Linked DNA regions of Coturnix japonica. The protein of the gene in region 4 interacts with the protein of the main gene of each other region in a pairwise test. Links are inferred from orthologs where the notes say so. Each region holds a gene or a part of one and is shown on either strand. Other genes may lie near its edges. The genes, in order: C23H1orf216, PSMD9, CRK, PSMC6 and SDCBP.

Region 1 (6,285 bases), on a different chromosome or scaffold from region 4:
CATGGGCACCTCCTCATACCCTCCCTGCACCCTGTGCAAGCAAGCACAGCTCCCAGCACCACCCCAGCACTCAGCAGTGCATAAAGTGGCTTTCTGGCTGCTCAAAGCCCTGCTATGCAGGAATAGGGCAAGGAAAGGGGAGAATGAAGCGAGCAAGAGGAGCAGGAGAAGTGCTTTCATGCAGAAGCCATTGGTGACCCCCACTTCCAGGCACACTTTGCAATGGGGAGAGGTTGGGTTGGTGCAGTTGATTTCTTTTCCCCCCTTTTCTTTCAAGGAGCCGTGCTGCAAATAGCCTGATTTATAAGATTTCTCTATCATTAAAATGTAAATGAAAACAGACACGAAAACAATCTGAATTTCCAGCCGAGTTGCTCTTGCTTAATATTCTACCCTGAAGGGGGATGTGCGGAAGCAACAACATTTCAAAGGGAATCATTAAAGAAGGCGGCTCAGGCTGCGTCCCCATCAGATATGGGCCGAGATGGGAGCCCGTCCTGTCAGGCTGCACCCCTGCAGAGGGGCACGGAGGGCAGGGTTGGCCCCATCTGCTTTGCTGCAGTGCTGGAAGACCCCGAGATCCCCTGTATCCATCTGCAACCCATGATATACTGAGGGATGGGAACCCCTGGGGATGCAGAGATACCCCTGAGATCCACTGGACCCACACGGAGCTGTGTTCCCATGGGATGCAGAGCTGGGACATGGCTCCCCACTGTCACCAGCAGGTTTCTATGCCTTTGTTTTCCCTCTCCAGATCTCAGGGCTGGGGATGGGCAGCTCGGGATGGGGATGGTTCCAAGAGCAGCGCCGGGGGCACCGCGCTGGGAGAAGCCTCTATGGCAGCACAGAGCATCCACCGCTTTGATCCGCGCCAGCAGTTATTCTTTCATTTCTTGAGCAAATAATCAGGATTTTCCCAATATTTACCTTGGATGTAAAGATTTGTGTCAAGCATCCGACCAAGACAAACAGAGGCGCTGGGTGGGGGAAGGGGATCTGGCAGCATCAGGGCTGCACCCTGCAGCCACATCAATGCACCCCTGGGCACAACAAGGGGCTGCATCTGCTCCTTGTGCTGCTGCTCTGCCATGTCTGGGATGATGATGATGGAAGGGCTTCTACCCACCCCTCAGTGCCCTTCTCTGCTGCTCCCAGTGCTTTGGAAGGGGCTCTACTCGAGTTCCCACAGCTCTGCAAGAAGGGGGAGAAGGGTGAAGGAAGGTTCAAAGGGCTTTTTCTCATCTCTGCTTGATCTCTGTGAGGCCCGAGGCACAGTCACCCCGGGGTCAGCGCTCAGGTGCTCCTATCTCCATCCCATCAGCACGGAGCTGGGCAATGGGGGCTGCAGCCCACGATGGGTGCAGGAGAGCAGAGGGAATAAGGGGGTAACCCAGCGGTGCTCAGCCTCCCACAGGGACAAGGCACAGCCCAATGCCCATCACAGCAGCAGCTTCAATGGTCACAGCAGCACTGGAGAAAGCACAGCACACAAACACAGCGTCTCCTTTTTAATCTCTATGTAAGAAGGGCCGTCCTTCATACTTCCCATGCAGCCCCCGCTGGTTAAAACAGGCATGAGGAAAGAAAACCCAAACAGCATCTTTGCTTTAAGACAACAATAGAATGCAATGAGCACAGCTTGGCGAGCAGCTCTGCGGCCATGCATGGTGCTAACACAGCTCCCCCAGCATGCAGATGTGCATCTATATGACCTGGTCAATAAAAAAATAGCAATAAATCAAAACCAGCTCTTCCCTAACACTGAACTGTGAAATAAGAGCGCAGGGTTTGGGGCCTGGTGATGCTTTATGAGTATTTCTGAGCATTCTGAGGTCACTTTTCAGAGTGATTCTCTCTCTGTGCACTTAATGCATGAATGCAGCTCCTCTCTGCTGCTGTGTCTGATGGGCTGTGGTCAGTCCTGGGGACAACCCAGGGCACCGTGCCCCAATGCACAGCAGCACATTGCACTGCAGGGCAATGGGTGCACACATCAGGTGTGAAAGGAGAAAGGCATTAAAGCTCTGTGGTTAATGGGATGGGCTCTATAGGGTGAGCACCACAATGCCCAGCATGGGGCTGACACAAACCCCGTGCACCAACATCACCATCAGAGCCAGCACTCAGCCCTGATTTGGGTGGAGAGCTGCGGGGAAGCAGAACGGGATTCAGAGCGTGGAATGCTCGCACAGCTCAGGGGCTGGGGGCAGCAGCGGGGCACGGCGCTCCGTGCTGCATGCAGCGGATCAGCTCCTTGCGGTTGTCCAGGATGGTATCGAAGCTCTCCTGCAGTCGGTCCTGCTGCTCCAGCACCTTCTGCTGCAGGCCGTGGATCCAGCGCAGCAGGGCCAGGCGGCGGTACATCACCAGCTGAACGTGATGCTTCTCCTTCTCCCGTTCCTTGAAGCGCTCCTTCTCCTGCAGCTGCTGCACCGCCTCCGCCAGCGCCGGGAATAGGGGCTCCGGGGGGGGCTCGGACACCTCGGGGGGGTCCCCGGGGGGATCCCAAGCGCTGCCGCAGGCGCTGTCGGGGCTGTCAATGCTGAGCGAGCTGCTGGCATAGCCGATATCCTCCGCCGGGGATCCACCCAACTCCCCCTCCCCGACCTCCGCCCCCTCGGGGGGGCTGCGCTCGCCCTGCTGGGGGGCACACGCTGAGCTCGAAGCGACGTCCCCCATCCCGCCCGGAGCCATCTGTCTCTGTGCTAACAGCAGCAGATTATCGGAGGGATTTGCAGTGTTGTTTTTGCCCCCCCCGTCAGCCCGGCTCCAGTTCTGGTTGTTGTCGCACTCATCGTCCCCTGCGAAGTTGCAGTTGGAGTCGGGGCTGCGTTGTAAGGACCCCGAAAAGGCTGAGCTCAAAGCGGGGACCCCCGGGAATGGGGCGTCGGGGGGGCACAGGGCGAACATCTCGGCGGTGCTGCCTGCAAAGGAGACGTGGGGATGAGCCCACAGTGCGGCACCGCATCAAAGGGGGGACCCGGGTTTGCAGGGATAAGGGAGTTTGTAGTGCTGAGATTTGGGTATCCCTGCGGTGGGGATGTGGGTCAGCCTCCTCCATCACTTGCCCCGGCACATGGAGGCAGAAGGGCTCTCCTTGCCCCAGGTCTTTCCTGCTGTGTGCTGGTGCCCGAAGCGGTGCCCAAAGGAGCGGATGGGACAGAGAGGGAAGGGAGAACACCGTGCTTATCTCCGGAGCATCAGCACGGAGAGCGCTCCCAGCGCTCACAACAACCACGTGAAGGATCCCCGTGATCGGCCCCGTAGGGATCAGCCCGGTGGGTCGGGGGGTCCCATGGGGCAGCGCTGCAATCAAGGAACACCCGGAGCTGCCCACGGAGACCCCCGAGCCCAACCCCCGGCCCTACACGGCACCTCCCCGAGCCCCCACAGCTCCGTAGCGATGCGGGATGACCCCCATCCCTCCGCCCCGCATCGCGCACCGCACGGGGACGGGCAGTGCGGGGCCGACCCGCAGCCGGGCGTTCCCGAAGGCCTCGTGTTGGGATGTGCGGGGCAGGGATGGGGATGCTCGCACGGATCGAGGCTGCGGGAACCGGCGCTGATCCCACCCTCAGGACCCCCCCTAAAGGATGGAGCCGCCCCGCAAAGCCGCCCGCACTCACCGGGGCCGCTCGCAGCTCCGCCGCCGGTGGGAGCGGAAGCGTTTCCACGCGGGGAGGTGCCACGGAGCCGCACTTCCGAGCGAAGCTGCGGTCCCCGCCGCCGTGGGCAGAGGGAGGGCGGCGGCTGCAGGGAGGGACCCGGCTGGGATGCGGTGCGAGGCGGGCAGCCTCAGCATCACCCGGGGAGGGGATGGGGATGTTGGGGTGGTTGGGGTTGGGGTCGTGGGGTGCTGCCCCCCGTGGGATGCGGGTCGCGGTGTCCGTGGGATCCCAAAGGGACCCTCGCGGTCCCCCCCCGCTGGGAGCCGTCTGTCTGCGGCATCAAACGGGAGGGCACGGGGGGGGGGGGGTCACATGGAGCCCCGCGGGCGGTCTGTGGATAATGAGGCTCTGTGGGGTTGGGGTGTTGTGGGCAGACGTTCTGCCGCTGTATTGAGAAGGCTGGGAATGGGGGAATAGCGCTGCTATGGGTTAAATCTGATCTGCTGACTCCTAGAAGGCCAAGAGATCAGCGCTGCTCTGGCCTCAAAGAAACCCCATAAGGACCGAGATGGGCCCTGGGGTTCCTCCCTGCACAGCACGAGGTGAAAGAAACAGTGAGCATCCAACCCTCCCCTCTGCCTGGATGTCCAGCCTGGCTGCACAGCCTCACTGTGCTGCAGCCAACCCCATGGCCTGGGCATCAAAACTGCTGGGAGTGATGCTGAGCAGTGATGGGGGGCAGTGGTGGGACCCCACTGTGCCATAGGACCCCTATGCCATGGCCATGGTGTCAGCTGGAGCTCCGGGCACAGGGACATGGGGAGTGGGGACACTGCTGGAGGGGGAAGGAGAGAAGGGAGGGCTCGGGGCTGGGGGAGCTTAGTGGTGGATTTCAGAGCCATTTTCCCCTCCTCTTCCCCTACAATGCTCCAGAAATGAATTAAAAGCTCTCCCTTCAGGAAATTAAAAGCTACTTTAAAAGAGCAAGAGCAGGATTCAAAGGGACGGAGTTATGTCCTGGGTGAGATGAAGGCCATTCATTGCACAGTGTGGCTCCAAAAGTCCCTAAATCACATTTCACCCAACTCCTGGCTCCATGCACTTGCCCCATGCAGGACCAGGCTGCCACCTGCAGTGCATGCTCACTGTGTGTGTGTCTGTGCATTGCACGGCCATGTGTGCATTGCATGCTCCTGAGCCAGCAGAGCAGCAGGCAGTGGTGCATTGGGGAGGCTGCGAGCAGGGGGAGGTGTGGGCTGGAATCTGCAACACCAGGAGGCAATGAAATGTGGTTGGGGTCCCATCAATTCCCATCTCCTGTGGCCACGGCCATGAGAGGACATGCTGTGCCATAGGGATGGGGTGGGTATGGCTGGGGACACCCAGGGCCCTTGTGGGGTCACCACCCACTGCAGGGACCCCCATGTGGATGGAGATGGCCCTGGGGAAGCCGTCCTGAAAGAGTTAAAAGCCAAATGTTGCAACAACAACAAAATAAAGTACAGAAGGAAGGGAAAAAAAAGGGCCCTGAACCACATGCGACCCAACCTCCCCAGCGGCTCATCTGAGTTTAATAACAGAGGGGGGAAATCTCCCTCAAAGCTCTCCGAGAAATTAAAGTAAACAGAGTTCTGACCTCCACCCTGCACTGCCCCAATGGCACCGGGGGTCTGGGTTGGGGGGGGTCCCCGTGCTCTCCTCCATCTCTGCTTTCATAATGCACAGGTTGGGTTGTGGGGATGCTGCCAGGAGAGCAGAGCGGGGTTCTGAAGCTGTTCTGTCTGTTTCTTGGCTACAATAGGGGAACTTGGGCCCTTCCCATCAGAGCAGGACCCCAAAGTCACCATTTCCTCTGGGCCTGTGAATCACTAATAAGTTCCAGACAGAAAGCTCCGATGAGGAAATTGTTTGGGAAATTGAAGGGAAGTGGGAGGGACGGGCGCTCACTGCCGCTCCGGGGCTGCACTGTCACCTCCCTGTGCTGCAGGCACAGTGTGGTCCCCAAAGGGCAGCACCCAGCGATGGCTGCAGCCCCAACACAGGAGCTGTTATCTCACTAATGCATTCTGCACCTCCAGCATGGACTATGCCAAGGCAATGCTGGCTGCCCAGCAGCTCTGTGTTGGTCTGTGCCCATTTACAATCACTGCCCTTCTTTCCCCCTTTGATCCCCATCCACCCCCAGGACTTTCCCAGCTGTTCCTCCTGACCCCCTTGGGCTGCTTCCCGAAATAGGAAGGTTCCACATTTGGGTCTCATCATGCAAAAAAAAACCCAAAAAACTTCAAGATTTGGAACTTTTGCTCTTGGAAACCAATCTGATGCATTCCAGAAATGCTTCCATTTATCCCTTTGTCACAACATCCAATAAAGGCTTTGGGTCCGGCCGCCCTGTTTTGATTAATAACTGTAACCAATTCTAAGCTGCACCAGGTCGTGTTAGTGGGAATTAAAGGTTTGATTGCACCCATCAGCAGAGCTTTCTGCTTTGCTAAATGAACTGGCTGAGAGCTTTGAGCAAACCCCAATTGGGCGGCACTTTGTGGGCTTCTCTCAGCTCTCCCTTCACCTGTAAGTGCTCAGTTCGCTCAGTTCACATCCCTTCCTCCCCCTCTCCTTTTCCATATTGATGGTGAGAAGGAAACCAGAACTGCACCAGCATCCCCTATAGGGC
Region 2 (6,143 bases), on a different chromosome or scaffold from region 4:
GGGAAGTGGATTGGGAACGATGGGTGGTGAACAAGCAGGGCAGACCCAGAACACCATGTCTACTGAGTGCAAGATGGTGGGTTTTGCAACAGAACTGTGTTTTCACTTGCTGGAATTGATCCAGTCCTACCACCAACGGGAACAGTGCAACATGCAACAGAGCACACAGCCAGGACATGCACTTCTACAAAGCCCCACAGAGCTATGGATGTCACAGTGCAGACATCCCCCACAGTGACAGGGAAATGACAACCCCGAGATCAGGAGTTAATGCACTCCGTTGTGCTGGGATGACCCACTAACCTCACTGCACGAGCAATAGAGAAAGCCAGGACTTTGTAGGGCATTTCATCCCAGGAGGCACATACACAAAGGCTGGGAAGAACATCCCATGAGCTGTTCTTCTGGACCAGCACACAGACCCAGATCCACCTGCAGCTCAGGCAATACTGCACACATGGGGTAGGCAGACATACCCTGAGCACACATGGCCAAGGCCCAGCTCCAGCTGGTCTCACACTAGAGCTGCAGTACAACATTCATCCACATGCTTACAACTACAACCTGCTTTGCTTCACCAGACCAATTTCTGGCTGTGGAAGGTCAGGGAAGAATGATTTCATGTCTCTGCAGATCTACTTTTAACCTACCTGCAATTACAGCCCCCAAACAGCAACTTCCACAAGAAGGGAGAGAGACACCACTCAGCTTTATTCATCGGGATGAATACTTCAAAGTTCAACTGGAAACAACCTTACAAACAGGAACAATCCCCCCAATTAACAATTAACATAATAAAATAATTAGGTACTCCAAAATTGCTCTCTTATTTGGTGATTTCCAGCAGCTATGAACACATGAGAGTTAAAGTAACAGATCTGTGTGTTTCTTGAGTGTGTTCTACTAAGTTAAAGAAGGAAAAATTGTTCCAGGTCTTTGTATCCTGCTTTACAGGATGTTCAAATGAGGAATTTCAAGGAAAAAATGAAGGAATGCCACGTTGTCACCAAGTAAAAGCACTTTATGTTCTTCCCAATCTGTATCAAGTGAAATCCAAGTTACACTGCAGCCTTACTCCAAACTGACGCAAGGCACAAAGAGATGAGAAGCCACTTCCTGCAACTCTGTGAGTTGCTCCTCACAAACCAGCGCAATTCCAACTGCATTAAGGTCCTGCTCCATCAGAACCTCTTCAGACCCTGCAAGCTCAGCCACCCAGAGGTCACAGCCCCTGAAACACCCATTTCAGCAAAAACAAAGGTCACAGGGCAAGCTTTCAAATCAAATCAGAGTCCAGAAAGCAGGCACAAGCTTCATCTTTATTGTCTTCCCAGCAGTGGTCATCTTTGCAATGGAGTGATATTGCAGCTGAAAAAGAAGAGTGGGGAAGAAAACATTTAAATCTATGTTCCGAAAGAAGCTTAGATGATCCAACACAGCACAAATCAGATCAACCACAACCCTCCTCCATTGGTTTCCTCTACTATAGGAAGGAGCCACTGAGATCTTCAGCCCCATACCCATGACTGATACAACTCATCACCCCGTATAGTACCAAATTGACAACCCCAGCTCTCAGCTGGACTCTGCCTGTGAGACACATCAGAGCAGCACAGAGCGAAGCAGAGCTGGTTCCTCCTGCAGGAGACGTGCCCTGAGCTGATAAGAGCCCCCTCCACTCCGACTGGCAGCCTACCCCAGCAGGCCCTTCCCAGCCCAGCGCTTCGGAGTCAGCCCCAGGTGCACTTGCTTGCCATTGCGGATCACAGTCACACTCAGAGGTCTCTGGGAGAAGCAAAAAAAGAAGATGAGCTCTCTCATTTCCATTATGAAGAGCCCAATGGCTGTGGTAGCTTCTCTGGCCGTTCCACAGCAAATGCTGTAACTCATTGGGAGAGATAAGAGAACGCAGTTACAGCAGAACCAAACTTACCCCTTCACTATGCTGTACTACTGTGGCGATGTTCTGCAGGCTCTTGAAGTTGTTTGCATTGACAGAACCAAACTCCACAATCTCATCATCAACCTGCAGACCCTGGGCAGACAGAAAGAAGCTGAACGTCTGTGTTCTGTGATGACAGGTAACACTGCCTGCTCACAGGAGCTTTCATCCAGCCGCACAAGCTGTGCTAGGACACCACCCTTCTCACCATTCAGACAACTGAACATCATACCATGCCCTTAGAAACAAGGGCACACTCATTTTTCTGCTCTGTTTTATGAGAAAACAATGAGGCTGCAATGAACAGATAAGCCTTGTAAGAGCTGCGTGGTGCTACGATGCAGCAGACAACATGCAATTTCTGATCCCAACACAGGGACAAACCAGCTCACAGGGACAAACCAGTGACACGGCCACAAACGGGCAGCTCCCTCCATGGGAACATTCAAGAATAACTGCACTGGTTGAGAAGGTGAATGAATATTTGACAAACACAGAATGAAGAAAGTGTGAGTGGGATAATAACAATAATCAGTATCTCACAGCTTATACCTGCCTGTTAGCAGAGGAAAATAAGCAACACATCCCCTATTTCCCCTTCTTAAGCACAAAAGAAGCCATCCCCATCCACTGGCAGCCCCAGCAACGTACCGCGATGCTGGCGGGTGACTCTGGTGTCACCACGTTGACTTTGGCAAAGGCAGTTGGCAGATTTTGGCTCATGGCCTCAGCTCGCGCCTCCGCCTCATCCCTGGCGTGTTTCTCCTTCTCGCGGGCGTGCAGCTGGTGCAGAGCCTCCTCCACCTGCTTCATCAGCGCCTTGTGGTCGTTCTGCAGACCTGCGGGTGGCACCCAGCTCAGTAAGAAGCAGAATCACAGCATCGCTATGGCTTAAAGGCCCAACACAGCCCACAACCCACCCCACGTCCCTCAGTACATCCCACAGCTCCTGAACGCCCCCAAACCTCCCTGAGCAGCCGCCCCCTCTCGTCCTATCGCTGTTACCCGGAGCAGAGGCCGACCCCACCCTCCGCACCATCCCTTAGGGGCTGCAGGCAGCGCTAAGTCCATCCCGAGCCCCTTTTCTCATCCTGAGGAGTCCCCCACGCCGCTCCCGTCCCGTCCCCACTCACACGCGATGTTGTGCCGGGCTGTTCGCACTTGGTACAGGTCGATGTCGGCCCTGGGGAATCCCTCGCTGTCCACCAGCGGCCCGTCCATGCCCACGCCCTTTTGCTGAGGGGAGAAAGGCCGCGGTGAGACCCTCGGCAGCGCCCCGAGCCCCGAGCCCGGCCCCGAGCCCCGCTCACATCGTCCAGCAGCTGGTAACACGCCCGGATCTGCGCCTCCAGCTCGTCCTTGCGCCGCACCAGCTGCTGCACCTCGCTCAGAGTCATGGAGCCGCAACCACCGCGATCCGACATGGCGGCGGCAGGAAGAGACGCAGCGGGGGGAGAGAACATGGGGCGGGGACAGAGAGCAAAGGGGGCGGGGGCAGAACGGGGGGCGGGGATGGGGGGGGGGTGTCCATGTGGGGGGTGATGGAGGTGATTGAGGTGATGCCCCCATGGCCGGGCAGTGCCCCCGGGGCGGGCAGTGTGGGAGGAGGAGCCGCTGTGCTCTATATCAGCCCCGCTGTGCTCTATATCAGCCCCGCTGTGCTCTATATCAATCAGCCCCGCTCAGGGTCGCGTTCTGTGCTGCTGTCACTGCGGGTCACATCATGGTGAGCGGGCACAGGACGGAGCGTTTATGGGGGACACGCTTCCCCCGGCCCCGCTGAGCGCTCAGTGCCCGCTCACTCACCGCCTGTCCCGCTTCTCTTGCAGACGACGTACACGGACAAAGGGGAAAAGGTGAGTGGTTCCCTGCTGGGGGACACCCCGTCCTGTGCCCCATGGCTGCCCCATGGCTGCCCTGCAGTGCTCTCAGTGTGGCGGTGGAGCAGCGCTGGGTGCTTTGCTGCCGGGTGAATCGTTAACGCTGCGGGTTAGTGAGGACAGGCTGCAGGTTTGGGTTGCAGCTGCCATCTCCTCCTCTGTGACCCAAACCCTAAACCCCAAACCCCAAACCTCCTACTGCGTGTTTCTATAGGACCAGATGCCCCTGGGCTCACTTCCAGGCTGACAACTGGGTGTTTTGCAGCCACTTTGCTCCATGTGACCGGAGCCAACGCTGTGTGCAGAACAGCCTGCATGCAAAACACTCCAAAACATCATCATGGCGGGGGGCCATGGTGACATCCATGTCACTGGGTGCACCTGCAGGAATTGCATTGGGAAGAGTTCCATCTGGAGGGACTGTACAACTTCTTTTCCCTTTCCCTTTAGCACCAGCGAGGCCGCTTCATCCACTTCCACTCCATCACCTTCTGGGTGGGCAATGCCAAGCAGGTAGGGGGCCGCAGGGCTGGCGGCGGTGGCCATTGGCTGCCAGGGGATGGTGGGGCCATGTATGTGTGTGTGTGTGCTGACAGCAGCCCTGGCCAGGGGCCACGGCCTTGGGCCCTTGCGCAAGGTGGGGGGTGGATGCAGGGGGTGCACACAGGGCAAAAATGCAAAGGAAAAGCAAAAACGCGTCACCGCACACAGAACGGGCTGTACGGCTGTGCTGGGAGCACACAATGGCCCCGCACACACCGCACAGCCATGCACACACCGTGCTGTGCTGCAGGCTGCCTCCTACTACTGCAACAAGCTGGGCTTCGAGGAGCTGGCGTACCGCGGGCTGGAGACCGGCAGCAGGGAGGTGGTGTCACACGTCATCAAGCAGGACAAGGTGTGCAGTGTGTTGGGATGCACTGAGCAGAGCTGGTGGGATCCTCCCTCCCATCACTAACTCTTCCTTCCTCCCATCCTCTTCCACCCCAGATCATTTTCGTCCTCTCGTCGCCGCTCAATCCAGGCAATGAGGGTAGGTCTGGGGCTGGGGCTATGGGCGCTGTGCAGTGTCCCCATACTGACGTTGGCTGTCGGTAGAGATGGGTGAGCACATGGTGAAGCACGGGGATGGTGTGAAGGACGTGGCCTTCGAGGTGGAGGACTGTGACTTCATCGTGCAGGTAGGCAGCACACGTGAGGTGCAGCGGGTGCCCTGAAATGGTGAGTCTGGGGCTGCTGGGTGTCGTGGCCGCACGTCCCCATGTTGGCATGGGAAGGGCCCCGGGGGCACGTGGCAGGACGGGCACTGTGCTCTGCTCAGAAAGCCAAGGAACGTGGAGCTGTGGTGGTGAAGGAGCCCTGGGTGGAAGAGGACAAGTTTGGGAAGGTGAAATTCGCCGTCATCCAGACGGTGAGTGATGAGGGCGCTGAGCCCCCAAAATGCAGTGGGGTCTGTGCATTGCAGCAGTGGGCACAGAGCCGCTTCCTCCCCTCCGCAGTACGGTGACACAACACACACCTTGGTGGAGAAGCTCAACTACAAAGGGCTCTTCCTGCCTGGGTACCACGCACCCCTCTTCAAGGACCCGCTGCTGCCCAGGCTGTGAGTAGCACAGGGTCCCAACATGGGGATGGATCCCACCCCCCGGCTGCCATCAGGTCTGAGTGCTGCCCCGTGTCCCTGCAGGCCGAGCGGCAAGCTGAGCTTCGTGGACCACGTGGTGGGGAACCAGCCCGACCTGCAGATGGTGCCGGTGGCAGATTGGTGAGAGCAGGGCAGGCTGGGGGGAGGCCAAGGGCAATTGCATAGAGCAGAGGTTCATTAGTGCCAGGGGCTCCAACGTGGCCGCTGTGGGTGGGCAGGTACCAGAAGAATCTCCTCTTCCACCGCTTCTGGTCGGTGGACGACAAGCAGCTGCACACCGAGTTCAGCGCCCTGCGCTCCATCGTGGTCACCAACTACGAGGAGACCATCAAGATGCCCATCAATGAACCGGCGAATGGCAAGAGGAAATCCCAGATCCAGGTGAGCACAGCAGTTGGGCTGCCACCACCGCAGGGCTGGGGGAAGGAGATGGGACGGTGCTGGCACTGCAGCCATAACAGCCACTGCAGTGAGATGTTTCCCTGCAGGAATACATCGATTACTACGGCGGGGCCGGAGTGCAGCACATCGCGCTCAACACCTCCGACATCATCTCAGCGGTGAGTGCCCCAGGGCCACGTCACAGGGGTGATGCCTCATGATTAGAGTCTTCGTGTGGTGGCCACCTCCACGCTGGGCCCAAAGGGACAGAGTGGGACAGGTCCTCATGCACCGC
Region 3 (6,118 bases), on a different chromosome or scaffold from region 4:
AATTCTTCAGCTTCTTGTTTGAATTACAACACTTCTCATACCTGTAGGCCAGTGGAAAAAACTAAGGCAAGATCTACCATAAGGAAGTCAGAGCAAAAGAGCTGTGTTTGTTTTCTTTGTCTGGAGAAGCAGAGATGTTTTCCTTCACAACCCTGGAACAGTTTTCTTGAAGGCACAAGTTCCAGCAGCATATGGTCTGCATCTTCCGAGGGCTCTCAGGAAAAGCAGAATGTGTGCAAAGGTAAGACTGGCTTCTAAAGGAACTTTAGTCACTTCCTATTAAAGTTGGACAACTGAAGAAATCCTCTTCCCTCCTCCCCAGCTCTGGACAGCCAAAGGAAGGACAGCAGCTCAGCTCACACCTTTGCTGCAGGACTGTTCGGCTCTGTAAGACAGCCCCTTAGAATGAGAAAGGGAAAGAGATGTGTATCATCTTCCTACCTACTCCATCCGAGCTCTGTCTGTGCTAGGACTTAATGTGATTCCATCCACTTGGAAACAGATAGTGAAATCTCTGCTCTCAAAGGGGTGATGAAGGGGTTAAAATCCAAAGTAGCCCATAATTAAACTAAGCGTAAAATTTGGACCCTGACTGATCTCTATGACACACGGGCCTTCCTACGGAGGACTTTTACACTGGCTTGGCTTTGTGTCAGTGTGGAAAAGATCATTCACAGAGGTGTTAAATAAAACATCTAACATTCTTTTTGGGAGCGTGGGCAGGTGGCATAACCACAGAGCAGCTTTGCGCTTCATCAGACCCTCAAGGGTTTCACATTTCTCTCTTCACTCCCATCCCGTCCGTGCCACTAGGCAGTTTTCTCTTTATCCCTAAGCTTTGGTAAGCTTTCCTTTTTAGGGCATGGGAGACTTAACAGGAATATAGGTTTTCAATTTCATCTCTAGACACACCCCACAAACCCCTACCCCCATCTTCAAAAGCACATTTGGGGAAAGAAAGGCTGTTCTTGGTGTTCAGGGTGCTGAGACACGAGGCTCTCACTCTGAACACATCACAGCAACATATCACAGCCTTCCTCCTAGAGCAACTCTGCAACAGAGGCAAAACCTTCTGCCTGTTTCCCCCACCTTCATTCCGACACCTTCTTCTCCTTGTTCTTCAGTGCCTGTCTGCTCACTACTGAGACAAGCACTCAGGAATGCTCTATAAAAACATGAGTCCAGGAAGTGCAGCCTGAATCCTTCAGAAAATCACAATGGAGCGCAATAAGCACGTTCTTAAGACGCATAATACTTACTGAAAACATCACCTTCCACTCTGTCACACTTCTCTATGTCATAAAGAAAAACGTTAAGGCTTTCAGGCTTCTGGCCTGATGTCTTTAGATGTTTGAGTGTACACCAGACATCACGGCCCTATCCTTGTATGTCAAACTGCAAAGACGTGATGGGTTTAAAGTCAGGTTCCTACTGTCACCTGCACACAGCAGGGTACAAGCAGTCACAAATCACACATGCATTTCAATCACCTGAAGCCAATAAATCAACACAGGAACCTGACCGGGCATATTTAGGCTTTCCAGTGAGTTGTGTGCATCTGTCAAACAATCAATTGCAATAAAAATAAGTAGACCATATAGAAAACTGACATGGTAAAGTTGGTTTTTCCAAAATAGCTACTTGTGAACATTTACCTCATTTCACTGCACTACCTTCCCCATCCAAACCTGAAATCATCTTCAACCTTATAGCAATAATAGCACGTCCCTTCCTTTAAAGAACATTTCTCCCTGGAGGAAATTCTTAATTACAGGTTAAACGTAACTTACTACACACACACTTTCTTCCTTTGAGCGTGAAAAGCGCACAGCATCAGCATGACATTCATTTAAACCCACTTGAATTTCAGCACAAAAATACCTTTGGTGTGAAAGCAAAGCAGCACCTATTCCAATAACATCAAGGTGGGGAAAAAGTGGACTTCCAAAAAGTAATAAAGCTCAGGATGGACTCCACTACAAATCACCATAGAAGCTTATTCTGCTCTGTGTAACAACCACACGTTTCACACATCAACCTATGAAAATAAACCTTTGCCTTGATAAGACATGAAACGCTGAGGAACCGAATGTATCTTGTGGTAAACCACTTCACTACCCGCTTCGCTTCCAGTTCAATGCAGCCACCTTTATCTCCTGCATTGCAGAGCTTTGTGTGACTGAAGCACACCTTACAGCAGCGGCAGATTCCTGTGATGAACCCAATGACTTCAGGCTTTCCCCAGTTTGTCAATTCTAAACGTTACCCCAATCAGGAGAGATCACTGTAGAATGGTGCAAACCCACCCACCACCAACAGATTCCTTCTTTATCAACTACAGTCTGCACAGCCTTTCTGTCTCTGTAGCAACCTATGTCCTAACTTCACTCCTCGTCAGGTTCATTAGCTCTCCTATTACACAGCCTTATTATACAGCCTTCCAGACTTTGTAGTGGTTTCTCAGAGATGCCAGCAATTCGCCCACATCATTCTGTGAGCATTAACATCCAGACAGGAGCGGCTCCACCGCCAACATCAGCAATGCCCCCATCAGGGCTGCTGCTTAATTCAACCTTCTCATCACACATCGATAGATTATACATTGCTGAAGGCTCCAGGTCACTTGTGCGTTCAGAATCATTGCTTTCTGCAATGCAAAAGCAACACTTCAAGGGTTAACTTAAGTACATTATGTTTGTATTAGAGGTTGATGAGGAATAACATCAAATCTCCCTTTACAACACAAGGTGTGTGTAGGAGGGGGAACCCTGAATTCCGTATCTGATCTAAAGGAACAAACGCCTTTACACTGCTCCCACCCAGCTTTGATTCACGACTAAGTTTAGCCTCACAATCTGTCCTCTTAACTCTCAACTATTCCAACCCAATTCAACCTTTGAATTGACACTTCCAGGGATCCATCTCCACGCTGACACACCTCACCCACAAATTAAAACAAAACGAAAGAAGGCATAAAGCTGTAAAAGTGTGACGGCTCCGGGCTGCGCTCTGTCCCATCGTTTAGATGCGAGGCAGGTGCAGGGAAACGGCTGCAAGGCGAGATTGAATTAAGTCCTCTACAAAGAGCAACACGACTCCAACACAACACGACTCCACCACGACTCTCAGACCCGGCCGTGAGCAGAGCGGAGCTGCAGGGACCAGGCGCAGAGCGGGGCCCGCAGCGGCTGATGGGCACGGCCAGCCCTGGGGGTCACTCACCCGGGGTCCCGGGGCCCTCTCCGCCGGCCCTTCGTCCTCCCGCCGGCCCCAGGCTGTTGACGATGTAGTGCGACACGCGGGAGCTCTCAGACACCGACAGGACGAAGTCTCCGGGGATGGTGCCCGAGTCTCGCACCAGGAAGGTCCCGTGGCGCTGCCCCTGAAGCAACGACACCGCCTCGGCCCGGCTCAGCCGCCCCCAGTACCAGCTCCCCCGGTCCTCGGAGTCGAACTGCCCGGCCATGGGGGCCGTCCCGCCCGCAGGCCGCACTCGCTGCCCCCGCCCCGCGGGCCGCCGCCGCCCGCGGTGCCCAGCTCCGCGCCCAGCCCTACCGCACCAAAATGGCGGCCCCTACCCTGACCTCACCTACCGGAAGTGACCGCACGCGGGAGACGCGGGGGGATACGTGACGTCATCACAACGCGCGGCCTTGGGGACGGTTGGCGGCCTGTGGGGGCTGCGCATGCGCGTTGGGTGGAGCGCAGGGTCTGAGGGGAGCTGTGTGTGTGCTGCCTTGTAGGTGAGACCTGATTGTGAGTGCGGAGGGTCCGTCTGGGCACCCACAGGATCACAGAATGACCCGGGTTGGAAGGGACCTCAAGGATCATGTAGTTCCAACCCCCTGCCTGGCAGGGCCACCAAACATACACCTTTACTAGATCAGGTTGCCCATGGCCCCGTCCAACCTGGCCTTGAACACCTCCAAGGACGGGGCATCCACAACCTCCCTGGGCAGCCTGTTCCAGGGCCTCACCACTCTCCTAGTGAAGAACTTCCCCCTGACATCCAACCTAAATCTTCCCTCTTTTAACTTCAAACCATTTCCCCGTGTCCTGCTATTGTCAGCCCTTTCCAAGAGTTTACTCCCCTCCTGGTTATAGGTTCCCTTCAGGTATTGAAAGGCTGCAATGAGGTCACCCCGCAACCTTCTCTTCTCCAGGCTGAACAAACCCAACTCCCTCAGCCTGTCCTCAGAGGGGAGGTGCTCCAGCCCCTGATCATCTTCCTGTCCCTCCATTGAGGATTCAATTCATTGTCTTTTTTCCTTCAGAGAGAAGCTGCCACCTGCAGTTGGTGCTTTCACCTTCCCAGCCAGCTGCATTTTCCTGCCTCACAGCTGTTTGCATGGAAAACCACTGGAAAACCCTTCCCAGGGAGATGTTCTGTGTTAAGTAGAGCCCTGTGGAAAAACAAGCTGTTTCTGACCCTGAGAAGATCACTGACCGCAGGAGCCTGCAGATAAAGTTGCTTCACTTCCATTTCTGCTGCAGGGGAATGTGCATGTGGGTGTATGCACCATTAAGAATTATAAGGATGGAGAAATAGGTACCAAGTTTAGATTAGCTTCAAGTTCCAGAGTAACATCTTCAGAGTCTGGATAACTGCATAGACAATTCCATTCCAGCTCTGCTCAATTCTATAAGCTTTTTTTTTTCCCCCAAAGGAATGTGTATTTTCAACTGTGTGGCCTCCATGTGGCAGCACTTGCATAAACATGGAGCACAGCTGCCCTTAACTGTGCAAGTGCATGTGCTGGCTCACAGCACCTTTGCTTTCTTGTGAGGCATTGGGAAGCCCTGTGACTGTCTCATGGAGTGGCTTTGGTATTGTGTTTTGTATGAACCTTCACAGTATCCCAATGGAAAAATATTCTATCTTACAGGTGGGAGGCTGCAGTTATAAATATATAAGAAAACACCAGGTGTTTGACTTATCAGATGGTTTAACAAATGAGCATCCTTCCTTCGCTGATCCTGTTCTCTCTCCAGATGGACTGTAGGTAGGAGCCAGTCATGATCTATTTGGAACCTAGAATGCCAGTTTCCCTGGTGACGCATGGAGTTTGCAGGATGGCTGCAGAAATAGCACACTTCTGTGCTCGGGTTTTTCATAGATTTAAAAAGCTGGAGATTCTTGTTGAGAATTAAATCCCAGCAGCAGGAAAGTACAGCCACATTCAGGGTAGTGCTTCACAGTCTTCAAATAAACAAGCCAGAAGTCTCTTGCAATGATAAAAATAATCATTTTTAGACTCCTGCCAGGCCAAGAAAGAAAGAAGAGAAGCTGCCTTTTGACTGAGAGTTGTTGTTCTTTTTCTCCTTCCCTTTTGTAACCCATCTTCCCTTGTTTCCAGCTGAACATCAACAGGAGCTGGATGGTTTCAGCAGGTTTCTTTCACAACTGCTGGCAGTTGGGAATATTATTGCAAGAGTTCCCTCTGGTGGTCACTAATGGGGAAATGAATAATACTTCCTCTCTAAGAAGCTTTTTTTTTATGCTGGAAAGATTTATTGTTCAGTCACTCTATTATTTTTAACAGCCTTTCTTTAGTTCTCTAGATAATGACTGAGAACCTTCTCCAGATTCCTGTTTCATCATTAACACTCCACTCCTCACTAGTTTACTACCACTGATTCACCCTTTCAGCACAAAAGCTGCAATAAAGGTGGAGCTTTTCTGCTCCAACCTGCATTCCTTCGTTCACATTTTATAGGCAGAGGATGCAGTCCTGAGCGCTGAGTGGAAAAGAACAGAGATGGAGACTTAGAAGAATGAAATTAGATCAGCTTTAATTGTGAAGAATTCACAGTTCATAATGAAAAGCTGGGAAGTATCAAGAGATTCTGCTCACCTATTCAGCAGCCAAAGCCTTGCATGCATTCAGGCCTGGTTTTCCTCCTCTGATTTGACTGTTCCTACATCATATACAGATCTAGATCCTTTGTATCCTTTCTGTATCCTTTATTTCCCTTATAACAGCATTTCTGTCACAGAAATCTTCCCTCTACTGATGATTTCAGGGTGTTTCTGCCCTGTTTACTTCTCATATGTTCACATAATCCATTCCCATCTGGCATGGAAATATCACCTGCACTGATATATATCACTTGGTGG
Region 4 (6,284 bases):
ATCTGCCAGTCCAGTTACCCAACGTGAAGCTGTTGCAAAATTAACGAAGGCTCATCGATGAAAATAGCAAACCCCAAAGCATTCATTAGTCTGCGTTTCCTGGAAGCCTGGCAGCCCCTGAGCAAGGCTGGGCCATGCCTCAGTTGCTCTAGAAATGGCCTCCAAAACACCTGTAGAACCTTCAGCTGGCACTGCTCGGAGCTGTGCTGCCCCATGGCTGGAGGTCCCTAGGCCTGGATGGGCCCTGGGGGCACCCAGCCCAAGGCAGGGGTAGGGTTGAATGGCCTTGAAGGTCCCTTCCAACCCAACCCATTCTGTGATTCTGTGTAACTTTTGTACCAGGCCTGAACTTCCAAGGTTGAGCAACCAAACGAAGCCAGAACCAAGCCAGCACAATGTCACCCTGTAAAGAGCTCAGGGTGAAGCACTATAAGCACCTTCCTGAGGGGGTGATGCCTTCACACCCCTTCCTTCCTCCCAAAACACCGTGTCTTCAGCCTGCAAGAATTCAAGTGGTTCTTTCAGATGAAGCACAACATCAGCAGGTCCCACACGTGTGCCATGTGCTTCCTGGCACCTGAATCACTGAGCTCAGCAGCAGCGATGGGTTCTGCTCCACCCAGGCGGGGTGCGGGAGCCCAACATGGCATGGGACAGGCAGGGCAGGGCCTGCACAGCACAGAGAGATGCAACGGAGCCGCCGGGACAGACGCACACCCCAATGGCTCCAGCTGCTGAGCAAGCAGCCAGGGAGCTGCTGTGCTGGCTCTATGCAATGCCACAGCACTGATGCATCCTCCATGGGTGCGTACCATGGGTTGGAGCATCACCATGCGTGGACTCGGCATCATCCTTAGGTTTGGCCTTTGCTTCATTCTCCTTTGTCTCCATCCCAGGCTGCACCAGTGAGCTTCATGTCTTCCCAGTTCACTCAGCATCACACAGTGCTCCTGGGCAGTGGATTTAGGGCTTTCTTTTCTCCTGACCCATACACCACCACTTATTGCACAGCTAGGCAGGAAAGAGGGCAGACTCCTTTCTGCACCTCCCACCTACAGCTAGAACAGAGCACAGGAATACTACAGTGGGTTTGTATCACCTCCAAGCAGCTCCTAGAAGACAATCAGCAGCTCCAGCTTCATGCAGAGGGTGGTGACGCACTGGAACAGGTTGCCCAAGGAGGCTGTGGATGCCCCATCCCTGCAGGCATTCAAGGCCAGGCTGGATGTGGCTCTGGGCAGCCTGGGCTGCTGGTTGGTGACCCACAACAGCAGCGCTTTGAGCAGCGAGGGCTGCTCGTATCACAGCGCTCCTGACTCAGCCTGACGAGGCAAAACCTCAGCAGGGAATGCACAGCGATAAAGCATTGCCCAGCGCACCGGGCAGCCCCTATCAGCCCGTATCAGCCCCTATCAGCACGGCTTTTAGCTGCCGCTTCCATCGCGAGCCGCCCACAAGGTAAAGGCACAGCCAAGCGCTCGGCTGCGCGTTTTCTTTCCCCACTCCCGACTTGTGATTCACGTTCCAGCACTGAGTGTAACGCAGCCGCTTCCTGGAAGGAGAGTGACCACGGAGCGATGTGTCCGGCAGTGCGAAGTGAAGCGAGCGGCAACGCACGGCCCGGCACGGAACACTGCGACCGCTGGAAGGGAAACCCGGCTGGGGCTGCCCCACACAACGAGTGCTGCCCACACAACGACTGGTGCCCCACATAAACGAGTGCTGCCCACACAACGGGGGCTGCCCCACACAACGGGGTCTGTCCCCCCACGCCCCGCATCCCACCTTGCAGAAGCACCGTCTCTCGGCCGATCCCTGCTCCCCGCGGTGCAGTGCAGGCAGCAGCAGGGCGGCGAATCCCAACGCCCGCAGCATCGCTCCGCCCGCCGCCATCGCAGCCGCCGCCGCCGGAATGATCCGCGCCGCCCCGCTCCGCTCCGCCCCGTTCCGGCCCGGGGGTGCGGCCGGCAGTGCCCGCAGCCCGGCATGGGGCCGCCCTCAGCTGCGGGTGTCGGTGTGACGGCGCTCAGCGCTGCCCGCACCGCCATAACCGTGGAAAACAGGAGGCGTTACTTTCGGAGCGACCCTCCCCTCACAGAGCCGCCCCGCTGCCTTGCGCTGCCCCTCCGTGCCTCCAGGGGGCGCTGTCTCTCGCCGCTGGTGCCGGAGGGGCGGTCGTGGCGGCGGCGCGGGGCGGCCCCAGGCGGCCATGGCCCTTCCCGGCATTCCCTATGAGCGGCGGCTGCTCATCATGGCGGACCCGAGAGACAAGGCGCTGCAGGATTACCGCAAGAAGCTGCTGGAGCACAAGGAGATCGACGGGCGCCTCAAGGAGCGTGAGTGGCGGCCCCGGCACACACGCCGTGCGGTGTCTGACGGCTCCGAGCCGAGCCGTGGGGCCGCCGCGTCGGGCCGCGTCCAGCGCTTCGTCATGGGCCCGGCCCGGCACGGCAGGCAGCGGCCGCAGTGAGGGGGGAGGGAGGGGCTGGGAATGAGGGCAGAGAGATGGGAACGGGAGGACGGGAATGGGCGAGGGAGAGAGAGAGAGAGAGAGAGAGAGAGAGAAGGGGTTGTGTGCTCACAGCACTGCGGGGCTGTGGGTGACACAGCACTGGAGCTGCCCGCGGCTCATGATGGGGCCCTGGGCAGCCTGAGCTGGGGGAGCTGTCCCTGCCCTCCAGCTGGGGGATAGTTAAGGTTCCTTTCAACCCTCCTTCTGTGGCTCTGGTCACAAACTCACTCTGAGATCCTGTAGTTGCTGAGCAGGAAGGTGACTTGGCAGGTGTGCACGGCTTCCACCTGCTGCTTTCCTGCGTGTCTGGAAGTTACCAAAACCTGTGTTTCTCTTTCTTTGTCCAGTAAGGGAGCAGCTGAAGGAGCTCACCAAGCAATATGAGAAGTCAGAAAATGATCTCAAGGCCTTGCAGAGCGTTGGGCAGGTATGTAAGAGGCAAAGTCATAACAGCTTATGGCTGTGGCTGCTGAGCTTGCCTGGAAGTAGCTGGAGCAACTTGCCCAGCAGTTGTTTAGTTCATTTGATTACAAAGCAAAAGTAAGAGGGAATAGTGCAGCAAACAGGAGGGGGAGGACCTTACCACCAGGAGCTGTCATACCATGCACATCAGGTTTTCTTTGGTTGTCCTGGCTAATAGAAATTGTTAAAAGAACTTAAAGATCTAAGTGAAACTTAAAGCAGGAGAATGAATTTCAAAGCCATCTTTAGAGCATACTTAAAGCTTGCTTTAAATGACCTTTGGCAAGGGTTAGTTAATCTGTAGGCTGATACTGTGTTTGTTCCTTTGCAGATCGTTGGTGAGGTGCTTAAACAGCTCACAGAAGAGAAATGTAAGTACACCGACCTGCTCTGAGGTTCTGTAAATAAGCTTTTGCAGTTGAAGTTCATCTAAAAGAATCAGAGCTTCAACGAGCTGAGTATTGGCAGGAAAACAAGATATCCTGGATAGTCCAGAGGTGTGATTTGGGGCTGTGAATCAAATTAACTTATTGTTTTCTGTGATGTTTTTTCTTTAGTCATCGTGAAGGCTACGAATGGACCAAGATACGTGGTTGGCTGTCGCCGTCAGGTACCTGATTTATATGACTATTCAGAAGGAGGTTGCTTTGGTCTTGATTATTAACATGGCTTTTCATAGGCTGAGTTCTGAACAGCATAAAGCATTTTCTTCTTTAAGCTGTATGTGCCTGTTTTATACAGGTGTTTGCTTGCTCTCTGCCTTTCTGTCTGGCAATAACATATCTTCTTAGTAAAGATAAAGTAATTCTAAGTGCTCCTGGAGCTTTGCATGTATTTATCCCTTTCACTTATTTGAAGCTCAGTATTTCTGCTGGATCTTAAACTCTGAAAAGAAATGATCATACCTTCAAGCTGTGAAGAATCTGCCTTTCCATGCTGCAAACACAGCGTATGACAGTAATGGTCCTCTGCTGAGCTTTAGATCTAGTGCTCTGTAACTATGTACTTATATCTTTTTCTAATACTTTTTGTGCTCCATTTCAATAAGTAATTACAGTAGGCAGCACCCAGTGAACACTTTGAAAGCTTTGCCTTTAATAATTTAAAGCATCTTGGTGCTTCTAGTTTGCAGGACAACAGCACTTCATAAGTACACCATAAAAGCTGCCATAGTAATGTGGAACCTTACTTACAAAACAACCCATCCTCTGATACAGCCAGAACCGGCTTAGAGGTGCTTTTTACTATCTGGTTTTGTACAGAAGGGTACAAAAGTGTAAGTGATGTGTTGCAGAGCTGCTGGTTGGTGAATTGAACAATGAATGCCACTCATTTACAGTAATTAGACACTACAGATCATGAGTTGTTTATGAAGCCTCATATTACTGAGGAACCACAGAACTCAGAGAAACTATTTGTCAACACAGAGTCATTCTGGGGAGTGAGAGTGAATCTTCAGTCCCATTTTGTTTGGCTCATCCCTGAGTTTCACGCATAGGAACAAAGAAGCACATGTATGAAAAATATGAGACTGTAAGGTATCCTCTGGATAGAATTATGACAGTGAGGGAGGATCACCAATCCTGAGGAGGCAGCAGATTTTACATAGTTGTTTTAATGCATTAAATAAATGCAAGTACTTCTTAGTAGCTGTGACCTCTCTGTTCATCTTGAACTGTTTTGTGTGCTGTAGGGAGAAGGAACTGCAGCTGTGCTTTAACACCTCATGGTTGTAGCACATTCCCTTCTATAATGGAAGTAACCTTTTGGAAGGAAAACTGATCCTGCAGATCGTTCTGCTGAAAGAAAATGTTTGCAGAGGTCTCACAGTGCTCGGATTCTCTCTGAATTAAGGATACTTATGTCTCAGAAAAATGTTTTGTTTCTTCTCATGAACTGAAGCCTCATCATAGAAGCTGAATGTATGACTGAACCAACCGTTTAGATGATTCATATGTAATGGACTGTAGGAGGAGTTGAGGTGACCAAGAAGTGACAGACTGGGCAGCCTATTGTTGGAATGAACTAAATATTCTTCTGAGACAAGTCTCCTTAATTCCACTGAGACACGAGGTGGGTTTGATGTCTTAGTCTGGAGGTCCTTTGTTGCAGCAGAGAGACATGCTCAGGATTAGGCTGTAGCTGGATGAGTCTGACCTTGCAGTGCGTACTTAGCAGTTTATTCTTGTGCAAAAAGCACTCTTTGATCTTAAAAGATCTTTGATTTGGTAGGAGAGACCAAAAAAGACTGTGAGAGGTGCCTTGATGTTTTGGCATTTTGAAAACTTTCAGGGAGCTTTAAGGAATAGCTTTTGATCCAGGCCCTCATGGCTGGGCTGTGCTGCTGAGGAAGGAGAGCCATAGGGTGTAAATGAAAACAGTATTACTTCCCTATCTGAAGTGTGCTTTAGAGGGGATTCAAGGTCAAGTGGTTTCTTTTTCTCTTCTCCCTGCAGAATAACTTAAATCTATTGGGCAGTGTGGAATCTGATATGATTTCAAGCTCCTACTTATTTCTTATGGTTAGGCAGCTGAAGAGAGGTCTTATCAGTGACTCCACTCAGGGAGGAGTGACAGCTTGATCCTAAAGCTACCAGGGTAGCCCATGTGGGCATGAGACCTAAATCTCCCTGCAAGGGAGCTGGGAAGCTTGTAAACGGCTGTAGAAATCCCCATTGTTCAGGTGACCTGTTGGTAAAGCTCAGAGTGAATAGGTTTTATATTCCTCAAACGTAGATTGAGCACCTCTTTAAAAACAAAGGGATGAAAACAGCAACAAGGTGATCCCCTTCAAGGGGGGGAATGAGACTGCTGTCCTGGATGAGATTGCCCAGAAACAGGGTGAGAAATGCACGTGAGTGGTTTTAATCCCAGCAGAAATTAGCAGGGGATACTACAGAGTGCTGGGACAGGGCTGCTGATAGCAGGCTTTATTTAAACTCTTACATGTGGAACAGGCAGTTGGGTAGGGCATCTGAGGTGTGAGTGATAGCAGGGAAACAGCAACGACTGGAGCAGCTGACTTTGAAGAAGAGGTATAATTGTGTATGTAAAGATGAACAAAGGCTTGGAGAAAACAGGCCAGGAACATCTGTGCTCCCTTTCTGGCAGTTCAGAAATGAGGAAGCCATTGAGTAGATCGGTGACAAGTTCAGTCTCCAGTGAACAGGCTGTTCCTTGCATGCTTGAGGGGCTGCTTGCTTGTATTGCAGCAGCTGGTTCTGTCCTGTGTTGAGCAGAGGGGAGGATTAGACCTCGCTAATCCTTTCAGATTGACAGCAGTTTGAAACAAATTAGATGTACATATGAA
Region 5 (5,550 bases), on a different chromosome or scaffold from region 4:
CTAGTGAGAAGAGTTCTCTCATAGTTCCACTGGATGTCTTTTTATAGTCATGCTGCTCACACCAACAGAGAAAGAAACCATGGCCCTTGATATGAAGAAAAATAATTATTTCAAAATTGGTTTAGCGATACCAATCAGTAAAGCCTTTAATGACTGTTCCTTCTGTGGCTGCCTTCTGCTTGCATTTCAAGCCCTTAGGAATGAAAGCTGTAAGTGATTTTGGCAACACCTTATTTTTCTCTTTTGTTCTTCATCAAAAGATAACACTGCAGAATGCACCTTGTTGGCTGTATTACATTCCAATTCAAAATAGGAGAGAGCACTCCAAACAACACAAAACACCCAGCATCTCTCAATAACTATAACCTACAATCTCCTGCCTCCAACAGGACTGAGGGAGTCCCTGTGGGTTTGGCACGTCCTAGAAATTGTCAATACGTCCCAACAAAATGGTGATCTAATAATTTCCCTGCAGGGATGGTTGTCTACGTCCCAAGGCATAGGTAAACCAGGTTGCCCAAGGAGGCTGTGGATGCCCCATCCCAGGAGACATTCAAGGCCAGGCTGGATGTGGCTCTGGGCAGCCTGGTCTGGTGGTTGGCGACCCTGCACATAGCAGGGGGATTGAAATTGGATGATCACTGATATCCTTTTCAACCCAGACCGTTCTATGTTTCTATGATTTCTCAGCCATACACAACATCCAAAGAATGTGCAGACAAGCTGATGTCAAAATACATCATTTGATAAGCAATATGAAAGGCACAGAAGTTGCAGTGGAATACAAACGCCAAGCATCAGAAAGGATGCTACTAAAAAGGGATTAATAATGCAAATTTCCATCTGATCTGATGATGCCAGCTCAGGTAAGATCTTCAGTTCCTTCTGGTCCAATTCACCTTCCCGGATCTAAGGTGGGTCTCTGATGAGCTAAATAAATTCCAGCCTTAAAATTGCTTAGATCACACCAGCTCCAAGTGTGAAACTGGAGACAAAGGTGCACCCACCAAGCCTTAGTACCTGCTCTATCAGCATTCTTGACTGCTCTTCCAGCACTGTAGCTGGTCATGCTAGTTACAGATTTTCAGGCATATCTGTGCATCTTTGTGGGTGCACATCAGCATGGGGATAAAAAGGTGAAATGAGACTGACATCTTCAGGCCCATTGTGTTTTCCAACATATGTTTTTACCCCAAAAGCTGCAGAAAGCACAATATTGTTGAAGTTCCATGTTTCTGGGCACTTCTCTATTAACAGATTTGTGTCTGCTTGTTTCCAAGCAAGTTCATATGCTCCAGAGGAAAGATGCAGTGGAATAGGTTCCCCAGGGAGGTGGTTGAGTCACCATCCCTGGATGTGTTTAAGAGCCATTTGGATGCAGTGCTCAGAGATATGATTTAGCAGAGGGTTGTTAGGGTACTATGGTTAGGCTGAGGTTGGATTTGATGATCCTTGAGGTCTTTTCCAACCTGAATAATTCCATGATTCCATGATGCTCAGATTCATGCTGCAGTCTGAAGTTTACAAACATGTGACAAGTAAGTATATGCAAGTGGCTGAGGTGAAAATCAAGGAGAGATCAAAGGGTCCCAACAACATGAGCATACTATGCAGCACATGACCTTACCTCCATCATGAGGAACAGGACCAGAAGCTTCAGACAAGATTGCTGGATTAGCTGGGTTTGAAGAGAAGGCAGTCTGAGCCTAAAGGGATGGAAACTCACACATGTTACTATAGGTCTTTCTTGTATAAGAGATCTTTGTTACATAGCCAGTAGACCAAGTATTCTTCTTAATGTGCTAATTACCACTACTCTTCAAGCACTGAAGTCAATCATTTTCTTTGAAGTATTTAACACAATACGCGGCAGTGTTATCATACCGCTTCAACAAGAAGTCATACCTTCCTCAGAGACAGAGCTATGCTAATAACACAGGAAGGCTTCACCATCAGCATCAGTTCCAGTTTTGTCATTAAGCAAATAGAAGAGACTTTTAAAGTAAGCCAATTCCCTTTCTTCTCACGGTATCAGAGCTGCTTCTTTCTTAGCCTTTAGCATCCACAAACAGTTGAAAACATTACCTTACAGAGTCCTACTATTATGCAGGACAGAAACAGCCACCTTAACATTGCTACTGATGTTAAAAGTAAAAGGTGTGGTTAAGTTTCAGAACAGCGAAACACAGTGCCAAACAGGACGCATAAATCACCAAATTCAACACGCTGACCGAATTACTGAGTGTTTTTTAAGGAAATAATGCTTAAAAATAGAAGATTTCATAGTCCTGTTCTCTCCAGGAAGTTACGTTTAAGAAGTTTCAGAGCAAAAGTGACTCATTATTTAGTCTCCAACTCAAACTCTGTACAGTAAGAACAGGGTTTTGTTTTGTTTTTTACAATTCCCTCCCCCGCCACACACTCCAGTTTTCCTTTTAATCATACTGAATTGCTGAGGACACAGTGCATCCTTCAGTACTAGCAGAGAAATACCCTATTTCCATTACCACATTGGTTGCAAAAGTTAAACAGTGAAGAGTTTTTAGTTATAGTGTTTAAACACTGGCAGCTGGTCATTAAAAGGCTGAGGGAGCATATAATATAATCAGCTGCAGGCAGGGTTGGGTTTTGTTTTTAAATCAAAGTTTACTGTCACCTGACTGTATCTTCACCTCAGGATAATGCAGGGCACATGGAGCTGAACAAAGAAATCCCAACACTGCCTACAGTTCCAAAGGTCCTTCCCCACACAGAGAAATGCAGGTGAGACTGACGCACTTTACCTTTTCCTTTTCAGAGACTGTAAAATACATAATATAGTAGCAGTTCTCCCCTCCCCGTCTTAAACAGAAACAGGATCATTACTGTTACCAAAACCAACTTTATGAAAGCCTGCCATACCTGAATAACTTTGTCCACCTTCAGATCTTCTAGGGAAGGATAGAGAGACATGTTGATGCAGCCTCACTGGGTTGGAAAAAGAAAAAGGAAGGGTTAGCCATCCAGTACTTGCCTAGCATTACAGCTTAAAACAGAAACGAAAGAGAAAGCAGACAAAGCACTAAATAAGCAAGTCGCGACCTGTAAACTTTAGCACTACAGATACAAAGCACTGAAGACAAATTTCATTAAGACTAACAGTTTCATCTGTTATCACTATTAGCCTATGTATAATAGGCTTTGCTTACTCGGTGCTGTTAAATGTTGCAGCCATGAGAAAGCCTGCACAGAGAACAGCTTCACAGGAAGTATTGCAACAATGATGAGGATTAAGATGGAAACCTAATTATATTCCATCTCCCAAGTAGGACAGTAATTCACATGCAACTGAGGAAAACAGTCCAGAAGTTTTCACACTATCTAAAGGCTTTTATCATTTCTAACACTCCTATCAAGAAGTCACTCACAGAATGACCCGGGTTGGAAGGGACCTCAAGGATCATGTAGTTCCAACCCCCCTGCCTGGCAGGGCCACCAAACATACACCTTTACTAGATCAGGTTGCCCAGGGTCCCGTCCAACCTGGTCTTGAACACCTCCAAGGACGGGGCATCCACAACCTCCCTGGGCAGCCTGTTCCAGGGCCTAACCACTCTCCTAGTGAAGAACTTCCCCCTAACATCCAACCTAAATCTTCCCTCTTTTAACTTAAAACCATTTCCCCTAGTCCTGCTATTGTCAGCCCTTTCAAAGAGTTTACTCCCCTCCTGGGTGTAAGTTCCCTTCAGGTATTGAAAGGCTGCAATGAGGTCAAGTCACTCGAGAGAACTGGCTTCCTGCGTCCATTTGTACCATATTAAAGAGAAGCAACAGACCACGAACCACCCAGACCTAGTCAGCAGTGGGTTTTGAAATCCACAGACTTCAGCCTGCCTCCCTCATGTGATGAGGAGAGAGCCCTGTGACAGCATAACAGGAAGCACTGAAATAAAAACACTTCGCGTGATCTTGGAAGGCACGTAGCCCTGTGTGATCTGAGCCACAGAGGCTTTAGAAAATTCCACTTTTGAGAAATCCTTTGCTCAGATTCTCACCGAGGTCAACAGAATGTTGCAGAAGAGTAGTTAAGGCAGTTCACCACAGGAAAGGATAGAAACAGAACGTAAGAACATGATAAAGCTTTGAAAATTAAAACGTGGCACAGAAAACATGAACGCAGTTAACAGAGGCACTATGAAATGCTTCTGGTTGGGAGATTAATTCTCCCATCCAAAGATAAGTTAGAGGTCCTGATTTGTGCAAGACTGAAAGAGACCACTACATAGAATTACCCAGGTTGGAAAAGACCTTGAAGATCATCAAATCCAACCGCAGCCTAACCAGTACCCGAACTCTAACAACCCTTCACTAAATCATATCCCTGAGCACCACATCCAAACAGCTCTTAAACACAACCAGGGATGGTGATTCAACCACCTCCCTGGGGAGCCTATTCCAGTACCTAACTACCCTTTCTGTAAAGAAGTTCTTCCTAATATCCAACCTAAACATAAATCCTTGAGCTGCTGCTTCTTTACACGCAGACGCTGGGTTGATTTAAACAAACTAAAGATGATTAATTGCTGCAGTAACATAATAGATGTCTCTTCACATAACATTAATGACATCAACTGCTTTTCTACTTGCTCAGCAGAGCGCCCAGCAGCTCCAGTATCATGTCACACTACAATTAACATTTCCAAAGGGAGCCCAAAGCGGGACAAAGATCTAAACTACCCCAACAGAAGTGGCCACGCGTTTAGCATTATTTGCAACTGATAGTTTTTGTCAGGTCATTGCAAACAAACGAAATAGAATTGAGACCCAGAAACATTAAAAATTAAACAGATGCATTTAACGACAGTGTAAAACTTCATTTTAATGCAGCATTGACCTGAATGCCATCAATGCAAATGCTTTTGCTCCATCAAAAAGAACAGCATATGCAAGCCAAAGCCTAGCACAACGCACGCTCAGGTAAGCAGTCCCCAGCCACCTCGTTCTGCTGCTAAAAGCATAGAATGGCTTAGACTGGAAGAGATATTAAAGATCATACAGTTCCATTCCCCTGCAGTGGGCAGGAGCAGACAAGGACATCCATCCCACCTGACCTTGAGTGCCTCCAGGGATGGGGAAATCACAGCTTCTTTGGGCAGCCGTACCTCACTGCCCTCAGAGAGACAAATTTCTTCCCTATCATCTAACTTAAATCTCCCCTTGTTTATTTTAGAGTTCTATCTGCAGTAAAGCTACACAGAGCATCGTATTCACAGCAGCACAGACTGCACTCAGAGCCCATTGTAGCATCTGATGGGTCTCTGGTTCTGGCCATCATTCCATATCATCCCACTTCCAGCTGGGCCATCTCCCTACAGTCCACTCTCACCCTGCATAGCGATCACCAGTAACACCCATCACAGGCTATCACCTCAAAATTGCTCCTCATACTTTCATATTGGCTCTCCAGGCACCAAAGAAACCCCTCCAGAAGCTGACCCTGCTACTTCACCACCACTCAAGGCCACCTCCCTTCCCAACTGGAAACTTGCAAACCCTCGGGTGTGTCACAGC

What was found.
Region 1: the proteins of PSMC6 (region 4) and C23H1orf216 interact in binary tests that used the Homo sapiens proteins (3 or more experiments, as listed by UniProt). The two-hybrid records come from large-scale screens. The link is inferred for Coturnix japonica from reciprocal best matches to the Homo sapiens genes PSMC6 and C1orf216.
Region 2: the proteins of PSMC6 (region 4) and PSMD9 interact in binary tests that used the Homo sapiens proteins (3 or more experiments, as listed by UniProt). The two-hybrid records come from large-scale screens. The link is inferred for Coturnix japonica from reciprocal best matches to the Homo sapiens genes PSMC6 and PSMD9.
Region 3: the proteins of PSMC6 (region 4) and CRK interact in binary tests that used the Homo sapiens proteins (3 or more experiments, as listed by UniProt). The two-hybrid records come from large-scale screens. The link is inferred for Coturnix japonica from reciprocal best matches to the Homo sapiens genes PSMC6 and CRK.
Region 5: the proteins of PSMC6 (region 4) and SDCBP interact in binary tests that used the Homo sapiens proteins (3 or more experiments, as listed by UniProt). The two-hybrid records come from large-scale screens. The link is inferred for Coturnix japonica from reciprocal best matches to the Homo sapiens genes PSMC6 and SDCBP.

Annotation. Positions count from the first base shown.
Region 1 is NC_029538.1:3,767,005-3,773,289, reverse strand, and holds C23H1orf216 (UPF0500 protein C1orf216 homolog), read right to left. Parts: upstream 3,798-6,285; 5' UTR 3,630-3,797; intron 2,928-3,629; 5' UTR 2,914-2,927; coding exon 2,197-2,913; 3' UTR 1,497-2,196; downstream 1-1,496.
Region 2 is NC_029530.1:4,890,185-4,896,327, reverse strand, and holds PSMD9 (26S proteasome non-ATPase regulatory subunit 9), read right to left. Parts: upstream 3,408-6,143; 5' UTR 3,406-3,407; coding exon 3,253-3,405; intron 3,179-3,252; coding exon 3,076-3,178; intron 2,782-3,075; coding exon 2,594-2,781; intron 2,036-2,593; coding exon 1,934-2,035; intron 1,786-1,933; coding exon 1,697-1,785; intron 1,369-1,696; coding exon 1,341-1,368; coding exon of another isoform or gene 1,282-1,340; 3' UTR 691-1,281; downstream 1-690. Other genes in the region: HPD (4-hydroxyphenylpyruvate dioxygenase), read left to right, coding at 3,666-3,668, 3,772-3,798, 4,273-4,335, 4,616-4,720, 4,813-4,855, 4,921-5,003, 5,144-5,233, 5,322-5,425 and 3 more. UniProt on the Homo sapiens protein: Acts as a chaperone during the assembly of the 26S proteasome, specifically of the base subcomplex of the PA700/19S regulatory complex (RC).
Region 3 is NC_029534.1:3,972,052-3,978,169, reverse strand, and holds the start of CRK (adapter molecule crk), read right to left. Parts: upstream 3,596-6,118; 5' UTR 3,467-3,595; coding exon 3,223-3,466; intron 1-3,222. UniProt on the Homo sapiens protein: Involved in cell branching and adhesion mediated by BCAR1-CRK-RAPGEF1 signaling and activation of RAP1.
Region 4 is NC_029520.1:52,821,885-52,828,168, forward strand, and holds the start of PSMC6 (26S proteasome regulatory subunit 10B), read left to right. Parts: upstream 1-2,086; 5' UTR 2,087-2,209; coding exon 2,210-2,336; intron 2,337-2,859; coding exon 2,860-2,939; intron 2,940-3,305; coding exon 3,306-3,345; intron 3,346-3,531; coding exon 3,532-3,584; intron 3,585-6,284. Other genes in the region: ERO1A (ERO1-like protein alpha), read right to left, coding at 1,786-1,893. UniProt on the Homo sapiens protein: Component of the 26S proteasome, a multiprotein complex involved in the ATP-dependent degradation of ubiquitinated proteins.
Region 5 is NC_029517.1:101,328,088-101,333,637, reverse strand, and holds part of SDCBP (syntenin-1), read right to left. Parts: intron 2,968-5,550; 5' UTR 2,953-2,967; coding exon 2,902-2,952; intron 1,707-2,901; coding exon 1,618-1,706; intron 1-1,617. UniProt on the Homo sapiens protein: Multifunctional adapter protein involved in diverse array of functions including trafficking of transmembrane proteins, neuro and immunomodulation, exosome biogenesis, and tumorigenesis.